Linked DNA regions of Schizosaccharomyces pombe. The gene in region 4 interacts genetically with the main gene of each other region. Each region holds a gene or a part of one and is shown on either strand. Other genes may lie near its edges. The genes, in order: rdl2, pgc1, tda3 and rhp26.

Evidence for each region.
Region 1: mutations in rhp26 (region 4) and rdl2 together harm fitness more than expected from each alone (negative genetic interaction), as found in Schizosaccharomyces pombe (one large-scale study listed by BioGRID).
Region 2: mutations in rhp26 (region 4) and pgc1 together harm fitness more than expected from each alone (negative genetic interaction), as found in Schizosaccharomyces pombe (one large-scale study listed by BioGRID).
Region 3: mutations in rhp26 (region 4) and tda3 together harm fitness more than expected from each alone (negative genetic interaction), as found in Schizosaccharomyces pombe (one large-scale study listed by BioGRID).

Annotation. Positions count from the first base shown.
Region 1 is NC_003424.3:3,837,669-3,842,437, reverse strand, and holds rdl2 (thiosulfate sulfurtransferase Rdl2), read left to right. Parts: upstream 1-2,967; 5' UTR 2,968-3,057; coding exon 3,058-3,156; exon of another isoform or gene 3,157-3,280; coding exon 3,281-3,332; exon of another isoform or gene 3,333-3,381; coding exon 3,382-3,601; exon of another isoform or gene 3,602-3,667; coding exon 3,668-3,725; 3' UTR 3,726-3,778; downstream 3,779-4,769. Other genes in the region: SPOM_SPAC4H3.08 (3-hydroxyacyl-CoA dehydrogenase), read right to left, coding at 1-857; SPOM_SPAC4H3.06 (uncharacterized protein), read right to left, coding at 4,438-4,498, 4,548-4,627, 4,687-4,769.
Region 2 is NC_003424.3:5,350,684-5,356,344, forward strand, and holds pgc1 (glycerophosphoryl diester phosphodiesterase), read right to left. Parts: upstream 3,013-5,661; 5' UTR 2,990-3,012; coding exon 2,874-2,989; intron 2,816-2,873; exon of another isoform or gene 2,743-2,815; coding exon 1,923-2,742; 3' UTR 1,416-1,922; downstream 1-1,415. Other genes in the region: Sec7 domain-containing protein sec71, read right to left, coding at 1-97, 147-1,125; SMN complex subunit Gem6, read right to left, coding at 3,255-3,536; F-box/WD repeat protein Pop2, read left to right, coding at 4,448-5,661.
Region 3 is NC_003424.3:3,224,637-3,229,858, reverse strand, and holds tda3 (FAD-dependent amino acid oxidase), read right to left. Parts: upstream 2,931-5,222; coding exon 2,879-2,930; exon of another isoform or gene 2,818-2,878; coding exon 2,476-2,817; exon of another isoform or gene 2,404-2,475; coding exon 1,667-2,403; downstream 1-1,666. Other genes in the region: cbc1 (nuclear cap-binding complex large subunit), read right to left, coding at 1-1,026, 1,076-1,326; TRAPP complex subunit Trs120, read left to right, coding at 3,616-3,781, 3,823-5,222.
Region 4 is NC_003421.2:1,177,586-1,185,198, forward strand, and holds rhp26 (SNF2 family helicase Rhp26 ), read right to left. Parts: upstream 5,054-7,613; 5' UTR 4,973-5,053; coding exon 2,051-4,972; 3' UTR 1,347-2,050; downstream 1-1,346. Other genes in the region: thiosulfate sulfurtransferase Tum1, read right to left, coding at 287-904, 962-1,240; THO complex subunit Tho1, read left to right, coding at 5,211-5,405, 5,465-6,355, 6,411-7,583. UniProt on the Schizosaccharomyces pombe protein: Involved in transcription-coupled repair (TCR).

The DNA.
Region 1 (4,769 bases), on a different chromosome or scaffold from region 4:
TTGTTAATCACAGTTCCACCGTTAGGATGAAGAGTTTGGCCTGTCATGTAACCACCATCTGAGCATGCAAGGAAAAGGTAGCAAGAAGCAACCTCAACAGGCTGTCCCATACGTCCAAGAGGAACTTGGTCAGAAAGTTCAATCTTCTCCTTGGGAAATGTGGAGCTAACGAGAGGTGTGTAGATGGGACCAGGAGCAACGGCATTCACACGAATACCATGCTGCGCATATTGATTGCTCAACCCCCGAGTAAATGCGGTAATGGCACCCTTAGTGGATGTGTAGTCTAGTAAATCAGGTCGTCCTACATAAGCGTTGATGCTGGAACAATTGACAATTGAACTTCCGCTCTTCATATGCGAAATAGCGGCCTTGGTGACCCAGAAAAAGGAGAAGATGTTCGTTTTAAAAGTGAGATCCCATTGTTCATCGTCGATATCTTCAATGGATTGAGCGACCTGTTGATATGCGATGTTGTTCACCAATACATCGATCCAACCCAGCTTCTTTAGAGCAAAATCAACCAAATCCCTACAGTTATCAGACTTGTCAAGTTTTCCCTCCCATATCCAACAATTTCTTCCTTCACGTTCAATTAAATCTCTCGTAACTTCTGCATCGTCTCTTTCTTCTGGAAGGCATGATATAACGAGATCAGATCCCTCTCTGGCAAACATCACCGCTGCTGCTTTACCAATACCAGAGTCTCCTCCTGTGAGCAATGTCTTTTTCTCTGCAAGTTTCCCTGATCCGACATGTACCCGTCCATCACAATATCTGAGAAGTGATGGTTCAGGATCTAAGTCGGCATGCTTGCCAGGCCATTTTTGAGTTTGTGTGCTAGGAACAGGATCCATTTTATTAATGTTTTTTTAATAAAGTCGCAGTTATTTAGTTAGTTAGTCAGTCGTAGTAAATTGGAAATATATTAAGGCGCACGTCTATCTCTATATATAATATATTTTTTTTATTTTTTGTCGGAGAACATCCATTTACGTTTCTATGTCATAATCCCCTGATGTATAGGAAATGAACGTAATTTCGAGAGAGAAATCCATTCTCGACAATCTATTCATTCCGCCTAATATTTTTATTCATTCCGCATAGTACTAGAAGCGTGGGAACGGTGTTCCGCCGCTTTGCAATCTCTTTAATTGATATGAGTTAACTTTATACTTCATCCGCCTGCGATTCAAGGTTCGCTTGTATTCAGCAGTTGCGGCTCGATCAGGAGTCTCGTAATCCAGGATTTCGTAAATTATGGCATTGTGATCATGGATCATTAAAAAAAAAATTAAATGTTGTAAAGGTGAATTGAAACGAAAGACAACCATCATTTCAAGCTAAACCTCAATCCAACATCCAAAGAATCAACTAAGACCTAACCGGTATTCACTCTTTAATATGATATCCCCTCTTTATCAGTGATGTTTTCGGGTATCGCAATTATGAAGTAAGTCATTCTTCATAATATTTGATTTCGATGGAAAAAAAGCGCAAAAAAAAAAGAGGAAGAAAATATTAACTAAATCAAAACAGTACGTAATTGGTATTCACAGTTGGATTAAAAGTCTGCTTAAGGAAATTAGCTATTAGCACTAGTTAGCTATGATCAACCGCCGACTGTTGTATTCGGTACCGAGCGACAAGGTTGGTACAATAAGGGACTAAGTGAATGAATGAAATTAATGAAAGCGAATGAATAAGGTAAATATTAATTTAATGGGTGAATTGTAAATAAATTATATTGAGTATTCGAGTGAAACAGATGAACTGTATCGAATTAACCGTTCATATATTTGTCCATAAAAGATTGTAAACCAGAGAGGTATCTTAAACACTGAATCTTACTGACCTTCATTTTTACAAGTTTTTATTTTCCTTCATCCATTGCAATCATTCATTTCGGATGATTGAATTGGAAAACATTGCCAATATGATTATTTAGGTTCATTATTTTATATATTTATTTATTGGCATAAAATTTTTACTACTAGTTTTTCTGCCGCTAAAAGAAACAATAATTTATTCTAGATATAAATTTCTTTTTTTATTTTTTATATTTTAATGGACGCATGTGAATCACTTTTCCATTTGAAATTTCAATTTTCAATAATATGCTGCTACCTTAGAACTTGCAATATTAAAATTGATGCGAAATCTTAGTAAACGTAATATCATGTGCAATACAATCAAAAGTGATTTGAACTGTGACCTAATATCAAAGGTGGACTTACAACCTGTTTTCTAATTGTACTGGCAAATTTAAACATCATGCTTACGTTAAACCTAGCGTTTCTCCATTGCGAGAATATCAGCACTCATAAAAATTTGTGTACTGTGATTTTTTTCCTATTACATTAGCATTGAAGCATGCCATGACATTACAGTACAGTGCATTTCAGGCCCGACGAGAAAAAATAAATAAATAAACTTACGTATACATCTATATAAATCAGCGTCGTATGAATTCCTGTTTTCTCCTAATGATAAAACAAACAACTGTAGCTCAATTGAAAATTAGAGTGCTTGTTTCTGTCAGTGTATTTCCAACAAACATAATTTTATGAATAACAAATTATCCATAAAATGCTTTTTGGTAAATCCATATGCTACCTCCATATAGTAATATACACAATTAAAGATCCGCAATTTTAAAGAACTGTGCCAAAGACGTACGTACAGTTCTATTCTATGAACTTATATACTGAATATGTAATTGTTTAAAAGTGAAACATAGAAAATGCGGCAACTTCATTTTTCCCGATGGATGAATCGCTCTTTTCTTGAATAGTAACTTTAAAAACTACCGTTTTAAAAAAGAAAAATATTATTGAAAAATCTCGAAAATACAAAGATCCATTTCATTTATTGATTCCTCTGAACACAAGCCCCTATAACACTTCAAACCTGCCGATTTCGTAATAGCGATCGTTCATATAATCATACTACTCACCGATCACGCTTATACCACTACCGTCAACTGTGGGAATCTGAGATTTAACCTGCCTGCTGAAAGGGGCCATCTAGCTGTAATAAACCTTGTTTTCACCCATAATGTTTTCTAAAACTCTTTCCGTATCTCGCCTCCTGATGACCCGCTCTTTCTACAGTTCTACAGTAGTTAAGAATGTCAGCATCTTTGATTTCGAAAAGGTAAACCAACATAGGAATACGTTTGCTTTCATATGCGATGTTTTCTGGTTAAAGCTAAGTTTTACACTTCGCTACTCTACTCTCCAAGTATTTTGGAATTATTAACGGTACTAACTTGAAATAGGTTTATAACCTTAGTAAAAGACCAACTGGCGACAAATCCACCGTTTTAATTGGTAAGGACAATACAATAGTGAGTTAAAACTTATTCTGCTAACATGTCAGACGTTCGTGAGCCCGATGAATTTAAGCAAGGTGCAATCGAAACTTCTTATAATTTACCTGTTGGAAAAATCGAGGAAGCCATGAAACTTAGTGACGAGGAGTTTTCCAAGACTTATGGATTCAGCAAACCCGTTTTTGAGGACAACGTTGTAGTTTACTGTCGCTCTGGTAGAAGAAGTACGACCGCTTCTGACATTCTCACCAAACTCGGCTATAAAAAGTATGTTTGTATAGGTGAACAATTCCACTTAATTTCGAGAACAGTGTTCAAAAACTAACCTTTTAGTATTGGAAACTACACTGGCTCATGGCTTGAGTGGTCCGACAAAATTAAGTCTAAGTGAGGGTAGACTCGAACGCTTTCCAGCCTTCTCACCCATTACGTTACCTTTTAGTTTTATATGTAGTTTAAGTTTCTAGAGTTGAATGCATGCATCGTATGCTTGCTCACCATTTTTAGATGATAAGTAAGGTGTACTTAGAAAACAAAAACAATTTTACTGCAATGTAACAATAAGGTGAATTGAACTATGATAAGTTACTTACTCAAGCGATTTATTCCTTCGCATTTCTATTGTCAAAGACTTCGACGAAAGGGTAAAGCTGTAAATACATTGGAAGCTATTAATATGGGAAAATATATTTTGAGACAGTCATTGTAGTTAATTCCGGGTTTAGAAAGAACACCTCCAAATTCAATTAAACTAGGGAATACAGTTCAAGCACGTGTTAAAGATAACTCTAAGAAATTAGTTTTCGAACAACCAGGTGGAATTAAAATTGATGGGTTTTTGACATTTAAAGGCTTGAAGAATACTATTCATACCTTGCCGGTTTGCTCAAAACGCGAATAACATTTTTTTCTTTTGCACTGAATGTTACAATCTCAATTACAAGTATGATTAGAAAGGAGACCTTTGAACTGACTGTCCCCTAAATTTCTAATGTAGAATTTTTACTTTCTCTAAATTTAAGAAAATTCAGAATCATACTTCATAATGTTACTCTTGCTAAAGAGAAAACTTGGATATGCCATAGTAATTAAACCAATTTTCTTCATATTTCATCCTTCATATTTTGTAAGATATCGTTGATTTCTTTAGAAAGTGAAGAAAGTCTAATAATTATTTGTTAGTTATATCTGGATAATTCAATTTTCAATTTACCTAGCTTCCAATTCTGAAATTTGCGTATTCTCAACTGGTGAATTAGTAGAAACAACTTTTAACTGCTCAAGTTTGACGGTCTGCAAATATTATACATTGTAAGTAACTTGCATAGAAAGATTTATGAAAAAAAATTTACCGCTTGTAGCTTAGAGCGCTCTTTTTCCTGTAAAGAATCCACCAATAGTTTAAGCTCCTTAGTAAGAGATGCTTGATAGTTTC
Region 2 (5,661 bases), on a different chromosome or scaffold from region 4:
TCACGAACCTGGTCAAAGCTTTTTCTGTGCTCGAAAGATTCAAGTGTGAGTTTGTTTTCTGATAATTGAGAAGGTATAGGAGAGTTAGCACGATCAGCTAAAACAATAAGTTAGTATAAAGAACTAAAAACATGATGATTGCTTACGAGTTCCATTACTGGATGATTTATTCATGTTAATAGTAGAAAATTCTCTTTCATGATTAAGAACGGTAGAAAGGCGCTGGAATACTGAATCAACCATTTGTAAAAGAGCTACCTGAGCAATGGCTTGGGTAGTTGAGTCTTTACATAAGAGGAAAATATTGTAAGTTTGCCTCACTGCTGTAAGTAAAAACGAATGTCTAATGATTGTCCTTTCAGAAGTAATAGCTGCCAATAAAGCCTTTACAATTTGTAGCTGCACTCTTTCTGGAGTAGACTCACCGCAAAAACAGGATGCAATAGTGTTAACCACACGTTCCATTAAGGTAATATCCGATGGATTTAATGTTGGGGAATCAAAATAATTGTAATCAATCAGCTTGGCAAAGCAATCCAAAGTAATAGTCAGCAACGTTGTACTATTTGTTTGACAAGCCATTACCAAAGGTTCCAAAATGACTTCGGGAAGAAGAAATGGCTGCTTTTGTAATTCTATTTGGACATTATTGATAGCCTCCCTAAGCTTCTTATGCCGTTTTGTAGCCTTTGCTTTTGACATATGCTTAAAAGCCTCAATTACGAAGAGTTGAGGATTGAGTTTGCCAGAGTTTTGGTTAGAGGCGTTTGAAATATTCTTCCAAATCTTTAGATCTTGTGGAGCTTCAGAAGTAGATGTAGTCTGTTTGCTCAGAGTACCTGTTTGTTCACTTTCAATCGAACGTGAATCTAAGTCATCTTCTGGAGGTCTTAGAGATAGATTGCTTTCAATATCTTTTTCCGCTTCTAAGTTTTTATCGTTAATTTCTATACTTTTTTCAGTATTAGACTGTTCAGGTATGGAATCATGTTCATCTATTTCATCAGAAACTCGACTTTTGATTGTTGATTCACTATCCGGTTCTTCTTCGACAACAGACGATCCTTTTACTTCATCAGGATTACTAGAAACCCTACTAACGGTTTCTATCTCCAAATCTGTCATTTTGACATGTATGATATTTGATGTTGTAGCTATGCAGCTATGAAAGTATTATAGTATGAATGGATGGGTACGTATACTACCACTCTGCACACCACGAACCAGATCATAATTTTTTCTTTGAAAATTAACCATTGATTATATCCCTAAAAAAATAAAATTCATTTCTTTGTAATTTGTTTGATAATTTAAGCTAGAAGCATGCTTCGAATTAAGTACGTTTTTTTTTTTTTAATTAGAAAATCTCATTGAACTTCTTATAGACGAATTTATATTAATAGTTAACTGGTAGCATCTATTGTTGATGAATCAAGGCTCTTTTGTTAATATACTGACTCAAACTATTAAAAGTGTTAACTAGTTCTTAAATATTAGTTTTCATAAGATAATAAGAGTATCAATGATTAAACTACTACTGCAGAATACGCTTGTTCCGTACTAAATGCAAATTATTTAGGACGGCATAATGCCTTGCCAAGTTATGTTATTTATTGTAAATAAGTATATTTTTGAAACGAAAAAAACGATAGAAAAAAACTTTTTTATCAATTGAAATGCCACGTATGTTTGCGAATTTCTCTTTTTTCTGCTTCAACGTGGCTGTCCTAATGACAAAAATCTTTAGTGAGCGATTGCAATAATACAAAAAGATAGAGCGTAAACTCTCAAGCAAATAAGAAAAAATTGGGAGATGGGATTTAAACAAATGGAAGAGCAACAAAAATGCTCAATCACTAAAACCGGAATTCTAGTATTCATCAATCATAATATATGTATTTTCCATATTTAGAATAACATACTTACAACACAAAGGTTCTCAATAAAAAGAAGACAAATTGTGCTCGTAAGAAACCATAAATCATATGAAGCCACTCGGAATAATGGAAATAATGCCAAGATTTGGTAACAATTGGGCCTTGGGAAAGAGCTCTAGCCATCACCGGATCATCAGATAAAAGTCCGTCACAGCCTCTAATTAAAGCAAGATAGATAGAAGAAGGTGTGTTTAAAGTCCATGCAAAGACTTGTTTACCTTGGGCATGAACGAGATCAACAAAATCCTGAGAATGAGGAAGTAAAAACAGAGCAACAGCCATACTGACACCCTTTACTCTGGGATGCATAACAAAATGTCTTTCAGCATAAGCGAAGTTGAATCCAATATGATATAACGGAATTGATGGGGCATATCGATCACAAGCAGGGATGAACCTATGTGACCATAAACAAAACGATACTTTGTCTTTCCAAAAGTCTAAATCAGAATTAACCCGAAGCATTGCATCAACCATTCTGGGAATAATTAACAAATCGTTTACTGGCTTAATGTCAACAAGTAGATTGACGCCAGGATGCTTGGTTAATTCATGCAAAAATTGTTCATAGGTAGGTAACGGCTCGTGAGGCTCTTGAATGGTACGAAAATGACCATTATCCAATTCATAATCAAGATCTCGAACATCAACATCAACACCGAATACTCTGTTAAGATTTCTATCATGCAAAATGCAAACCACTTCATCTTTAGTTAGTCGAACATCTGTTTCAACGCAGTCAGCACCAGCCTTTACGGCTTGTTGAAATGCTAGTATAGTATTTTCAGGATACTTAGCTTTGTATCTGTAAACATAAGTTAAACATTTGCTAAATTGGAGAAGGATTTTGACAATTAAGGGTACAAAGTTGCAGATATGAAACTAAGTCTACTAATAATAAAAGCAGTATGCAACTAATACATTCATAAAACATACCCTCTATGAGCAATGACCAAAGGCGGTTTTGAAAACGTGGCTAAAGAACTCGTATTTTCAGCAATGCTTTGAGCAGCATCATCAACGGTATTGGCAATTGAGTAGTTAAAAGCCATTTTGAAGAGAACGATGTTGGTATTGGGAGAAGTAAAGAATGTAGCAACTATATACCAGTTACTGTAGTCCGATGATATCACTCCGCTCCGCTCAGGTTGCAAAAAAGGCGTTGAAGTGATTCGTCGAAGTCAATTCAGTATAACAATATTTTATATAGTTAATTTACGATAAAGGAAGGAAAACATTTCCCTCGCAAAAGAAGCGAATTATCCATCAGAATTGTAGATTCAAATCATATATTTCAAACGCTGAATGCAATTCGCATCATGAAGTTAATAGAGAATCATATTCTGCTAGCGATTGTTGATTAAGAGGAGACATACTTTCGTCGGGTTCAATGGTCTGAATAGCATCCGACATTATACCATAAAAACGATAATGAGTATCTTCAACCTCGTCTGTATTGGGAGTAAGAGGTTGAATCAAAATTAATGTTCCAGTCAAGGGATCACAGTTCCAAAGAAATCCTTCTACTGGTAAACGTCCATTCTTAAACAGGACGCGCAGGTAAGAACCTCTACGCTTTTCTGTTGTGTGAGAATCCATTTCATTAATTATTCAAATAATGTGAGAAAACAAAAAAGATAAAAAAAACATTAATAAAAACCAAACTTTTTAAAACACGGTTTATGTTCAGGTCAAAAAGTAGTAGCAATTTTCGGTAGCTGTATGAGAGGCGTGGAATTACAAGATGAGTATAGCTTCCGTAGCAGACGTAAATCAAGTATGTTTTTCATTCGAACCCAAATTTTTAGTTGTTTTTGAATTTATGAAACTGATACTTAGGCCATTATGGTTTTTTTTGCTAACAATATACCAGCAATGGGATTTACAATCAGTTTTCGTATTAACTTCCATAAAACTTATTTTATTTATCAACGAACATCAAATTCTAGCTCAGAAAAATAAAAAATGCATATATTTTGTTTGAAAACGCTGCTTACGCTAATCTGTATCATATAACTTCTACTCAATTTTCTTAATCCATGTTTCCTGTTTTAGGTACCGCTTTATATTTATTTACTTAAAAAGTATCAATTCATGTATCTTTTTATTACAAGTTTTGCATTCGCATTGTACGAACTTTTGTTTACAAATTCTCCGCCAGAACTTGCCTCCTACCACACACAAAGATTCTGTATGGTATGAACAACGCATATTGAGCTTCTGTTATTTTTTCAATTAAAAGATTACTTATAAAAAAACCTTTCCATTATTCATTTTCTCTTTATGCCCGCACTTTTTAATCTGTATCTAATTTCGGCATATGCCAGTTTTTGATTAATCTGTAGAAACAAACCATAACGGTGTTGTTTCTTCTTTCCAATCTGTCAGTAACTTTTTCATTGGTCTCTTTTCCAATTTATTTTCAGATTGTTTTATCGACTGTTTTCCTTAAAGCTCATTTTTGACTTCTTATTTATTTCAACGAAAAATCACAATCATTGCATCTACGCATGTCACTCTCTAGGTGTCCAACTGACAATTCGTCCTCCCGTATAAATTCCTCTGTTCCTTTAATAAATAGCAGCAGCCCTGCTACACCTCCAGAATCATTTGATCCTCAAGTATTTCCTTCTTCACTTATTCATGGGGATAACCTGCTTCCTCAAGATGATCAAATTGCATCGGATCCTCGCTCAGAATCAAATAGTTGTAATGGCAATACGAGTTCTTCCCTGCCGTGCACTGATTCGTATCAGTACCCATTAAAGCATTCTTGTACGCCTTCTTTTCTTCGAAAGTTTAATGAAAGTATAGAGAATGTCTCTTATAAATGCTTAGACCACTCACCGCCAGATAGTGTTCCTGGCGATTTTTCCATTTCCCTTGTTCCTCAAAGGAATTTTCTATATTCTCATTCTTCTCTTCCACCTAAAATTATATCAATTGATAGAAACAATCGAATTAAGTTAGATAATAGCATTTCATCTAACTCCGACAATTTCCCTCCTTCTCCGAAAGTCGACACATCAAACACTGTTTCACCTGGTAGTAAACCTATCTCTGAGGATCTTGAAGATTTAAACTTACAGTCAATTGTTCAAACTTTTGAGGATCTTCCAGAAGGAATTCAATCTTATGCGTTTTTTCAACTACTCCGTTCGTGCAATCGGCAATCGATGCGTTTATTATTGAATGAATGCGAGCCGCTTCTAAAAAAAGATATACTTTCAAATCTTCCTTTTTCCATTGTTCAGTCTATATTATTAAATCTGGATATACATTCTTTTCTTTCTTGCCGTCTTGTTTCGCCTACTTGGAATAGAATACTTGATGTGCATACTTCATACTGGAAACACATGTTTAGTTTATTTGGCTTTCAAATCAATGAAAATGACTGGAAATATGCTAATCCAAACTTAAATCGTCCACCTTTTTTGCACAACGACCAAATCTCAGATGACTATTTTCCGGAAATTTTCAAAAGACATTTTCTCAATAGAAAACGATGGTTATTTCCTTCGATACCTCCAAGTCATCTATCTTTTCCCATTCATGTTCCAAACTTTATGATAACTTCTTTACTACTTCATAAAGACAGAATAATCACCACTTCGGGATCTGGAACAATTCAAATTCATAATGCTATTACCGGTGTTTTAGAAGCTCGATTAGAGGGTCATAAAGAAGGTGTTTGGGCTGTCAAAATACATGAGAATACACTTGT
Region 3 (5,222 bases), on a different chromosome or scaffold from region 4:
ATTAGCCGAATGACCCTTCCAAAAGTTGGAGCCAAAATTTTAGGAGCGATACGGCAGCATTCAATCAAAAGCGAATGATAATAGACAGGTTTATACGTAGTATTCTGTGAACCAAGAAGCTCACCCAAAACAGCTTCAACTATGATATCTTCTGCTTTCCAACGTGATTCCGATGGATCTAAATTTGGTAATTCATTTACTGGAGTACCACGAAGAGCAAAAGTTTTGTAGGTAAAATAAACATCTAAATCTGTAAGAACTTGAGCAGCCTCAACTCGGTTAAATTCCAAATGGTTTATAACATCCACACTTATATCACGAAATATGCTGGCTGCAACGTCGGAAGCGTCAGGAGTCGTGCGAATTTCAAAGTTATTAAAAAGCTCAAAAAATCTCTTGAAGGAAGGTAGCTCATTTTGCTGAGGAGTGGGCTGAAACGTCCATTCAGGAATACTTGGGCTAACCGGAACAATATGAACGAAATCAGATTCAAAAAACTTCCAGGGTTGAGATATATAAGGAAAAGTAAAGTCGTTTTCCCGAGATAGAATTAGTTGTTTATAGAGTAAGTCCAATTCCTCCTCTGAAAGATTGTCATGTATTGAAAGGGGATTACTTAGAGTTATCGAAGATTTCCTATGACGAACGTAAATCTCACATTGATCCAGTATCTCATTAGCAAAATCCTTTTTACCGAGATCGTTGTTAGCTGCGATGAAATATGGAAGGTTTATCAAAATTATGCGCAGGAAATTATCTCCCCAGACACTGGGTTTGGTTTCTTTTGAGATAGCGTCAGCCAGTAATGAAAATAGTGGCTTAAGGGTACCTGGTTGAAGTGCAAATGACATGCAAATGAGCATTCGTAGATCGACTTTAGCCTCGTAATAAAGAAAGGAGTTTAAATTCGTAAAATACTGTAAACAAAAATACGCAGCTGCTTTTTCTAAGATTAAAGGAACCCTTAATGAGGCTCTTATAATTAATGTAGCCAAATGAGGTATTTTGACTGGAATGATAAATGCACTAAGGATTAAATTAGTTTTCTGAAGGGACAGTATAAATTATCACTTACGTTGTCTGAATGCAATCTAAGATAGTTGAAATGGTTTCAGGATCATTAGCTTCACGACTAAGAGACATAGCAACATAATTAATGTCATCAGCAGCTACTGAATTTCCTCGAGGATCCGCCAAAAAGGTAATATCCTTTTTTATACGCGCTGCAAGTAGCTCTTGAGAGTTTCCTCTATGGGGACGAAATCCATAATTCTCTCCCTCTCTCGTCCTCTTTCTGGGTCGAGTTGATCCCCGATAAGAAGACATTTTGTGAGGAATGTTAGTGTCTTACTGTTGTTGGCGTATAGCAGAATTGTAAAAACACGAGCAAGTGTTCTCAAGTAACAATCAACTTAGAGGTAACGAATGGTATACTAAGTCGAGATGGAAATTGTAAAACAAAAAAAAAGAAAATCGATTTTCCAATGCGATAAAAACGAAAACCTTAATAAATATGATTAGAAAATTTTACAACACTGTAATATTCTATTTCGGTAAAGGAATAAGCATCCATTCTGCTTCTATATTTTCACCTTTCAGTGAATGAGTCCTTCGTTTTTTTTGACAAACAATTAAAACAAAAATTAGAGGATATAATTTGAAATCCTCATTCACCGAGATTTAAGTGAAAAGGATCTGTGTTTATGCTTGTTTTTTCCTTGCCAAGGAGCATTTCTGCCATACATAAACCCGTGGCAGGAGCTTGAGTTATCCCCCAGTTGGCGTGACCCGCTGCAACAAATACACCAGACTTGGTTGTTGATATTATCGGGATACCTGTTATTCTACTGGTAGGAAGGAACTTAAAAGATGCGTCTAAGTAGTTACTCTTCGTATTCTCCGAGAGCACCAAATCGGTCATTTCTTTCAATTCGATAATTTCAAAAGGATTAAAAAAACATCGATTACTATCTTTTGGCAGCAAATGGAATTTTGGAGTTCCCATAAAAATAAGCTGCTCCCGGTTTTTACTGAAAATTTCGGTTGTTTTGCAAATGTTTAGATTACCCATGGTATTTAAACAACACACAACAATGCTGTCGCCAACGGGAAAATTTCCTACCGATAGGTGAATTATGGGAATGCATAGACCTGCAATACCAGTAAATGGTAATAGATAACCAGTCCAAGGCCCAGCACTCACCAGCGTTTTATGCACCTGTGCTTTTATTATTGTATCTTCAGCTTCTTGTTTTGGAACGTATGTAATATGGTGTTTACTAACCTCTTTCACACTTCCAAATATAAACTTTACTCCTCGTTTTTCTATTTCTTTTGCCATAAATTGACAAAACAATTTTGGATTGATCATTGCAAAATCGTTGCCGGAACCGATACTAGAACCTAAATGGTTAGTCTCTATATGACTTATACAATAAAGTTATTATTTTTTTTTGGTAGCACTTATGAGCTTACATTTTTGCATGCGCTCTCGTTGAAGCCATTGCAAAGTATCGGGAACTTTGGCAACATTGGTATTGTCCCATTTCATCTTACAAAACCAAGAATTGGCAGTCCTATATTCCCAGTTTTTCTTCCCATCAAATTTTTTATCCAATCCTTCATAAAGCTTCAAAGCGAGAGTTGAAAGTGGCTGTATGATTTCATTCTGGCACAGTTTTGTCAAGATTGCAGAATCAATGCCGGAGCTACCTCCTGCTATTTCTTTTGATTCAAATATAAATATGTCCAATTCTCCTTTTTTGTATTCTTGTTCTTCTGTTAAGTAAAACGCCGTACAAATTCCAATAATGCCACCTAAAAATCATCGTCAGCATGCTCACTCATCATTTATGAAACTGTTGTTCTCCAAAATTACCTCCTACTATTCCTATCTTTGTCTTATTTCCTTCTCTACTTGTAGCGCTCATATTTGAAGTTGGAAAGTTGACTTGAAACACAATCATCTTGCTGTAACGCTTCTAAACATTACGTTATCCTCACCAGTATTTCCTTCAATCTCTCTTATTTTTTTACCATTTTGAGAATAAAATAAATAGCAATAATAATAATAACAAAACGGTTCAATATTCAACAGTTTTTGCCATTCAGAATGCCTTTCATAAATTGCTATGGCGAGATATACGATTCTTTCATGAATACCAAACGATTGTAAAAAAGGAAAAAAATTACAAAATACTCCTCCTAATCTATAAAGTCAAGTTCGCATAAACAAACGGATTTTTAAATTTTTGAAATGCCAGATTCACATTCTTCAGATAGTTTACATATTATTTACACATGCCTTAATTAAAATTACTGCAACCAGTTCATTGAGTTGTAATTATATTTTGATTCCAAATAATCTACTGAAAACAGCTGTACAGCTGTATATGCAGAATGGTATTTCCAAAGCATAACAAATATTAGACATTTCACAACAATGATAATTGTTAAGCGATATCATCTTGAAAAGTTTATTTTACCGACTTATGATCGACAATCAACAGAAATATGCAAAATAAATTAGTGATGGTATGGATGTAATCCGTTAAATGGTATTCAAGCACTTTGTTCTCAGTACGTGCTCCAAAACATTACATTGCTGGAGATGCTATGGAATTTGATTTTTTTTCGTTTGTTGCTCCTTCCAGAGTTCAATCATTAGTCCTTCCTTTTGGTCGTGTTAGAAGAAAAAGTTTCTCGTCCTACCTACAATTACTCCGCAGAGTAAGTCATATTCAGTTGAGTGATGTCCCTGTAGCTACTGCTACTAGAAAATGTATGTTTCTTATTTTTATGATTATTGACTAATCTTAATAGCGAGTTCTTTCAATCCTTTGGCTTTTCCGTTGGGCAGATTGGTGTACAATTTCCTAACCAGCCTTGATGATCAACAAGCTCTACTAGAAGAATTTGAATATTTTCGGCGCGTTTTCGTTCTTATTGGTATTGTAGATGGGTCAGAGGAACAAGAAGTTGAGCAATTATGTTCTACCTTGGATGTTTGGCGGAGAAGGATACCTCATGCGTTAGTTGCAAAATGCATCGTATTTAATTGTCCAGAAGACAAAGAGAATATATTTAATGCTCCCAATATCATAATAGGACCAAGGTCTGATTTTTCAATAAACTCCGTAATGCGGTCTATTTTATGCGATATCACTGCTGAGTTGTTAGAAGGATTTAGTTCGCTCGAGTTTTCTATACACGCGCGTTCCGTGATCCTTTCTCCAATTACTGACATGCCACATTTGGCTCCCTTGCAAAGGAAAAATTCTAATGCGTCGATTCACTCCTTAGGCTCATCTTCTCGTCCTACTTTGACGAGAACTCCCTCGATCACATCAAGATCTGTGAATAGTGTAACGGAACGATCCAAAAGTCTCTCAAAGGGGCGTATTGAGAACCAATTTGGCCAGCTATACTTGCTGGCCGGCAGAGTTCCCAATGCGTTGAAGCATTTCTCAACAGCCATAGCGCTTTCTAAAGCAACTGGAGACTTTCTTTGGCAAGGACTTTCGTTGGAGTTATTTACTGTTTGTCTGGTTATAATGGCTCATTTGCATGTGGACGTCCAGATTCCTCCTAATATATTATCCATGTTCCCTTCTTATAATGATAGATTGAATGCCTTTGGACCACTCAAATTTGATGCACTATTAAACTTTATCACAGAAATGCGCAACGTAGTTGATCAATTATATCAAAAATCCACTCTTCAACCTAATGATGCTGTCCCCGGCCTCTGTTTTTCCGAGAGTATCCTACGGTATGCTCATTTACTCACAGTTGTTTATAGTTGTAAAGGATTTAACGACAACGCTTTGGATCATATTATTGCTCAAGCCCCCATAAGACCTGTTAAAAAAGCTACAACGTATGTACCAAATAAAGCAACTATTTGTCAATGGATTATGAGAGCCCAAGGACAGCATCTTAACTCTCTTTCAATTCGTGAACGTTGTCGCATATACGGGGCTATGGCAAATATGCTTGGAAGTATAGGATTTTCTCGGTTAAGGGTCAAGATGTTGCGTGAGTTGGTTGCGAGTTTAACACCTGTACTATTAGAAACGCGTAGGCAAAATGCTTCAAAAAATGGAATACATCCGGAGGTTATTGCTTCGCATACCGCACAATCCTTTAAAAGCACTCATTACTGTAACATCTTACCTTTGATATCTGAAATATGTCAAGAATATGGCCTATTGAAAACTGAT
Region 4 (7,613 bases):
AACAACCTTTTCCAAAGGCTTGCACTTTAAAAAGAGAAACTCGTCAGTTTTATTATGAGCCTTTATTAAATTATTTTCCGGGTCTGACGTTAAACTATCGAGACAGCTACATATATATTATATAACATTTAACATTGGAAAGCAAAATCATTCAACATTTATTCGTCAACTTAACAATAAAATGAATTTGTTATTTAAAAACAAAAATCCTAATCAATACTCATAAGGTAAATCATTCACACCTTTACTTTATCTTCGTAATACATCGTTGATAACCATAGTATGCTTAAGGGCCAGTTGCTAGTAAAGAAGAATCTTCATTGGCACGTTTTCCATATCCAGACCAAGACTCATCATAAACGCGTACATCCTTAAAACCGCACTCCTTAAGAGCAGCAAACAATACAGAAGCAGTTACACCAGAGCCACATGAAGTGATTATGGGAACAGACTTGTCTGTTAAACCATGGCTAGAAAACACCTTTTCCAAATCTTCCTCAGGCTTCGGAGCTGTAATACCAGCAGCAGTGGTTTCGGTAAATGGAATGTTGATGGACGTAGGAATATGCCCACTAGCTAAACCAGGACGAGATTCGGGAACGTTGCCAAGAAACCTTTCATGAGCGCGAGCATCAACGATGTGAACGCCTGCGGCATCTGGACTTTCAATCACCTTTACAATGTCATCAAAGGAAGCAACCAGATCTTTGTTCAACTTAGCACCTTCGTAAACAACGGGCTTTGGAGTTCTAGGTTCTCCAGTTTCCAATTCAAGACCCTCAGTTTTCCATGCGTTAAACGCATTAGGAAATAAGAAAACATGCTCATGACCAAAGACTTTAAAGGTCCAGAAAACCCTAGGAGACGAAAAAAACCCTTTTCGGTCATAAATGATAACATTGGTCTAAAATATTAGTAAAATTGAAGACTAAGTAATTGGAATTTCTAAACTACTACTTACGTTTCTGTCAATTCCTAATTTTCCAACGTAAGAGGCGAATTCGTCAGCTGGAGGAAGCATATGAGGAAGGGGATTTTTGTGATCTTTAGCCTCATCTATATCAAAGTATTGAGCACCTGGAAGACGACTTTCTAAATACTCCTTCTTTCCGTTTTTAGTGTCTGTTGGCAAGTACCAAGTAGCATCCAAGAGAACGGTTTTTTGAGCATTATCCTTTAATTTTTGCAATACGCCCTTAATAGGCAAAATAAAAGAGATTTTTTTACCAACAGAGAACATTGTTTGAAGCAGAGTCTTATTTTGTTTCAGCGAACTACATAGACTTCGAATTTCAAGTAATCTTACGAAAGTACAGCGTTGGTTGCAGCTCCCAAAATTAATTAACGAGTCAAGTTTTTGGTAAAACCAAATATGTGTGTAAAAATGGTTAGATGCGGTTGCATTGCTTATATACAAATATTAATTTATATAAAATGAAAAAGTACTAGTAATAAGTTCGCCAATAAGCACCAAGACATCAAAATTTTTGAACCACTAGTTTTCTAATTAAAAGGTCTTTTCTGACACTGTCAACAAACATGACTCTAGCATTCTAATAACGTTGACAAAAGAACGTAGTAATTTATAGCTACAAAAAGGGTTGCACGGGTTGCACATACCACTAACTAAGCCGCTTTGAGTGTTCATACTTTTCTCAGCCAACTAGAAAGTTATTAACGCTAATTTTAGGTCTCAGGTAAAGCGAATTTGTCAAGTGCTTGCTTACAATAACATTAACACACTTTAACCAAGTACTTTAACAAAAGGGAAAAATGATCAAAGTAATTCCGACAGCCCTATCCTCAACATGGAATTGACATTTCCAATACTTTTCAAGCAAAGTAAACCCACCTAGTAATAAGGATAATTCCCATTCAAAAAATGAAATGATCGCGTGTCTATCAATAAATCCATAAATAAAGCTTAAATCATGAAAAACTTAATGTACAAAATAAAGGGAAATAATAATAAATAAATAAATGGGTACAAGATTGGGTCCGAAATTTTAATGGATACAGCTTACTCTAAGGCGAACTTCTTCTAATTAATTCATCGTCTCTGTTTTAGTCGGGCAAGAAGAGTGCTTGAAGTAATCGGACCTGATGGTTTAGAAGTACCAGGAACATTAGTAGATTGCTGCGGAGGTATAAGTTGACGAGGAGGTCGCCGAAAAGATGAAACTGCACGCAGAGCTTCATTAGCAACACGCGTCGCTTCTTTTTCAACCAATATGCTTTCAGTCTGGGAGGCTTCCATGATATCGTCGTGCTTTAAAGTACTCTGAATACCAGCACTAGCAAAAATATCATCAAGGACGGAATCATCCCCTAAAGTCGAATCAGAGTTTGTCTTAGTAACATTTGACTCTTGCGGTGGTTTATACTTTTCCATCGATGCAATCCCCATTTTTTCAAACACTTTGGAGCTGTTAACTTTTTTACCTTTGTCGTGAATTTTGTGCTTTTTTCGGTCACGAGCTGGAATATCTTCAGCTTCATTGCCATTTCTTGAGGAATTATCCTTTCGAAGTACTCGTTCAGATCCCAAAAACATGCTGCCTGTCTCAGTGCCCTCAGTCTTGTTATCGCCTAACGTAAACAAATCGTGCAAGTCCGTCATTTTAAAAAACCTTCTTTGTTTTGGATCTTTCAAAATTTTGTTAGTCAGAAACTGCTTAAAGATTTGACGATGATAAATTTTTTCTTCAATAGTTCCAGCAGTCATCAACCGATAAACTACTACATCTTTCTTTTGGCCCAGTCTCCAAGCACGTTCACGTGCTTGAGCATCCGTTGAGGGATTCCAATCAGGATCAAAAAGAATTACCCTGTCAGCACCAGTCAAATTGACTCCTAATCCACCAACACGAGTAGTTAGAAGAAACACATCAAAATACTCATTTTTATTAAAGTTGTCCACCAAATCTTGTCTTAAAGCAATAGATGTGCTACCATCCATGCGACAGTAATGAACATCCGGCAAATCCTTTAATCCTATTTCCAGTATGTCGAGCATTTGGCGAGTCTGAGAAAATAGAAGAGTTCTATGTCCTTGTTTTTTCCACAAAGTTAGTAATGCTCTAATAACCTTCAGTTTGCCAGACTTTTCAGGATCACCATAGTTGTAATCTTCTTTATGTAACAAGTACTCTCGAGTTACAAGATCTGGATGATTACAAATTTTTCGTAGTATATCAATTCCATAAAGCATTTGACGCTTTCCGTTCAAGATCTTTTGCATATCAGAGCCTTGCAAAAAATCTTGGTAAGCTTTCCTTTGTAAAGGAGTCAGCTTACAGAACAATACTTGTTCGGACTTCTTAGGTAAATCTGCAGCAACGTCAAGCTTCATTCTTCTAAGTAAATAAGGAGAAATTAAATCTCGAAGCATGCAGGCGCATTTATAAGCGGTTTGCACTTGAACATTTGAAGCATTGGCATAACCACCAATATTAATAGGTAAGGCAAATTGATTTTGAAATACCGGTAATGTACCCAATCTTCCAGGAAATACAAAATCAAATAAATTCCAAAGCTCGGTAAGGTTGTTCTGGATCGGAGTCCCTGAGAGGATAATCCTATTCACAGTACGGATTTGCTTACACGAAATAGATATTTCAGAATCTGGGTTTCGTATTTTGTGCCCTTCATCCAAAACACAATAACCCCATTCCCGTGGTAAAATCAAATCACCATATATCCTTAAACCAGCATATGTTGTAATTAAAATGTGGCCTCTAGTGAAGACACTTTCAACTAAGTTCTTAGCGTATCTGTGGAATGAACTTGAAGCACCTCTTAATTTTATGGAGGTTTTGCTTTCTTCCGCTTCACTTTCAGAAGCGTCAGATTCATACTGTCTCTTTTCGCGTGAAGCACGCTGTCCGCTGCCAGTAGCATGAAGAACAACAACACGTAATGGAGCCCACCATGTATGAAACTCATTAACCCACTGCTTCATTAAAGTCGCTGGACAAACGATAAGTGCAGGCTTTTGAAATTTGCCAGAGTGATGCAAAGACGAAAGGAAAGATACTATTTGAATAGTTTTTCCTAGTCCCATTTCATCACCAATGATTCCTCCGGCCTCTTGACAATAGAGTTCCCATAACCATTGTACGCAAGTGACTTGATAACGGAAAAGATGTGGGCGAATATCACCTGGGATGGTAAATCCACCCTCAAAAGTCTGTCCTTTTTTGGAAGGATGAGGTAGTAACCACTCATCTTTACCTTCAAACTCTCCTCTATCTTTATTGTTTTCAGATGCTGAGGCCTGATCTCGTAATTCCTTACGATTCGCACACCAAGCATTAAGCCTTTGTCGATATACCAAATCATCTCCATCATCTATAGCGGCAGTTACTACTTTCTCCGTAACAGCATCCACAGTTACGTACTCATCTTTTTCGTCTCTTGGAATAATCCCATGATCAATATTTGACGGCTCCGAACTCAAATGAGGTGCCGTTTCATAGTATGTTCCTTCAGACTTTATAACAGCCTCACGAATGCTAGATTCATCATCAAAATCAACTTCTTTTTGTAGTCCAGAGAGATTTCGAAACGGTGTAACCTTACCAGTACGGATGAGCTCTTGTCTTTCCAATTCTTCAGTCGAAAATGCACCTATACCAGGGGCATTTGCCGAATCTTCGTTATTAAGTCTTCTCTTAATATCATTTTCGTCTGATTGTAAACTTTGAAGAGTGTCTCGGAATTTAGATAATTGTTTGCGGAAGTTCTCCTTGACACTTATTTTTGTAAGTCGACTGTCTATACGCTCATCAAGGCGACGTATTTTTTCTTTTACAGAAGATATTTCTTTCCTGACTTTTTGAAGTCTCTTCTTTTCGATCTCTCGACTTTCATGTGCAATGTACTCACTAGCAGTATTCGTAACATCGCGTTCCAAATTCTCTTGGTCAACCGAAAAAACCCCTAAATGGGATAGATCTTCATTGACACTCATATCCTATCAATTTCTTAAATAAAGTCTCATTTTCAGACTCACTGCAAATTTAAGAAAATACTTTGTTGTTTGGTTAAGGGCAAAATTACATATTCCTTCATGCTGCTCCTGTTATAGCGAGAAGCAATGAACCACACAAAGCAATAACGAATAAATCCTTATTTCTAAATGACATTGTCAATGCTAGATAAACTCACGTTTCTGCGCGCGGATTGTATATTCGCAGACTTTTAAAGTAATGGAGGTGCAAAAGGGTTTAATTGAAGCTTTTTATAATACATATCCATTAGAAAAGGCAAAAGAACTGGATAAGAGTCCACTTTGTTCTGAATATGAATTATTCATCAAAGAATTATGGCCTTCGATTGTTGAGAGTTTTCATAACTCAACTGAGTTTGAAACGGCAATAAGATTTTGCTGTTATGAAACAGCAGTATGTGCTTTTTCCATAATGAAGTTTTCCTTAAGTTACTAATTGTTATTTTCGTGTAGCGCAAAAGTGAGATTGGATTGGAGGAGCGATTAAAATGTTTATTTGCGATTTTGGATCTCTTAGTAATAGGGAACGAAATTAACGAAAGCTTCTGTGATCACCTGTTGCCTTTTCTAATCTTGGAAGAGCTGATGGACATTCACACCGTCAACGAATGCGCCAAATTATATGAATATTTTGAAACCAGACCTAGCTTGATGAAAGGTATTGTCAGCAATCGTGGAAGAGGACCCGTTTTGCTTCGGATATCAAATGAATTACTCCGGCGTCTTTCTCGGCAAGAAAATTCATCTTTTTGTGGGCGGATCGATATTCTGCTAAGTAAGGCTTTCCCCCCTGAAGAACGGAGTGGAGCCAATTTACGTGGAGATTATAATACTGTTCATTCTTTTGGGAAGGTAGAACTGTCACCACCATCCACACCCATTTCGGACCGAACAGACCTCTCATATCACAAAAAACTTAATACCTTATTTACTGCTTATTGGGATTTGCAGTGTATGTGCTCCAACCCTCCTAAATTACTAGCAAGTGATACCTTACCTAAGTTTATAGATGCAGCTGGTTCTGCAATACAGGCATTCGAATCTATATTACAAAATACGTTCTTCAATGGGAAGTCAAACCCTACAATTGATCCAAACTCTAGCTCATTACTTTCTGAAAAATATATAACTTTGGATAAAGGATTTCCTTCTAAATATATATATTCTCGGTCGCTTTTTGAATACCAACTTTCAGATGAAGATTTCCGGTTACAGGCTATTTTACAATTAATTATTATTTTCGACTTTTTGCTTGACCATTCTAAAGAACGAATTGAAAGGAGAACTCTTGAAAAATGGACAAATAAGGCGGTAATTCCCATTGTTATTTTGTCTGACGAAGATGTATGTTCTTTTTTAGACTCGAAAAAAACTGATTTTATTGATTGCTAATATGTAGACCTCAAAGTTAAATGAATTATCCAAAGAAGCATATAGTTTCTTACATACTGCCCGGTGTGGTTCTGTGCAAAGAACCATTAAAGAAATTATACATATTGAGGGTAATTGGAAATTATGGAAAGGGCTTGGCTGCCCTTCCCTTGAAAAACCCCTAGTAGATAAAGCGGCTATTGATGAAGCTGTCGAAGGCTTAAAAAAGCTTACAAACACCCCAGTGAAATTAAGATTTGCTATGGGAAATGCTGCTTTGTCGAGGCTCTGGGAGCAGGCTGGAGAAAATACCCTTGATGATCTCAAAAAGGAGGAAAGGTACCGGATTCCATCACCTGAGAGCTTTTTATCTGGCGTTAAAGCAGACAAGTTTGAAATAGAAGAGGCAGTTAGAGATGATGACAAGCATTTCCATGAACAGTCCTTGGCAACGAAGACATGGCGTGCCTTTCGTTCAGCAATTAATAGCCATCTTCAAAACTTTTCGGATACCGGACTAGGTGATGTTGAATTGCTTTGTAATTCCATTGAGGGCAAACCGACTACATCGAAAATTACACCCTCTATTCCTCCAGCTTTTGATATTCATATTATAGAAGGAGAAGAGTTATTAGAGGAAATGAAAAAGAGGGAGAATGTCAAGCACAATTCTCAAAACTTTGCAAGTCCTATGCAAACAGATGCTGAAGGTGATATTGTCCAAAATGAAGAGGAAAAAGAAAGCGTTGAGGTTGAAGAAGGAAAACATAAAAATGACTTGCCAAAGGTATCACCTAAACCCCCAACTGAGGGTGTGGACAGTGAAGTAAACGGTGAATCTTTGGTTCAGGTTAATAAGGTTCTCAAATCAGAAGATGATAATACATCTGAAGCTTCAAAGGACCCATCTTCACATGTGAAATCTCCCGAAAATATTGAAAAACTAAAACAAAATGATGATCACTTTGAGGTCACAGAAGAAATTACTTCCACCATAAATTCTAAAATATCTGAAAAGCAAGAGAATAATGTTGCTGAAACTATATTGGAAGTAACATCTAGTCCAAAATCTTCTGAAAATAGTCAAAAGCAGTCAGAGATTACTAAAAAGCGAGGACGGGATGAGGAAGATGAACCTTCTGACCTTCATTCAAGCCCTAAAAGGCCAAAAACTGGAGAGGATGGAGAAATTGTATTATAATCATTAAATCAATTACACATATGTGATAAG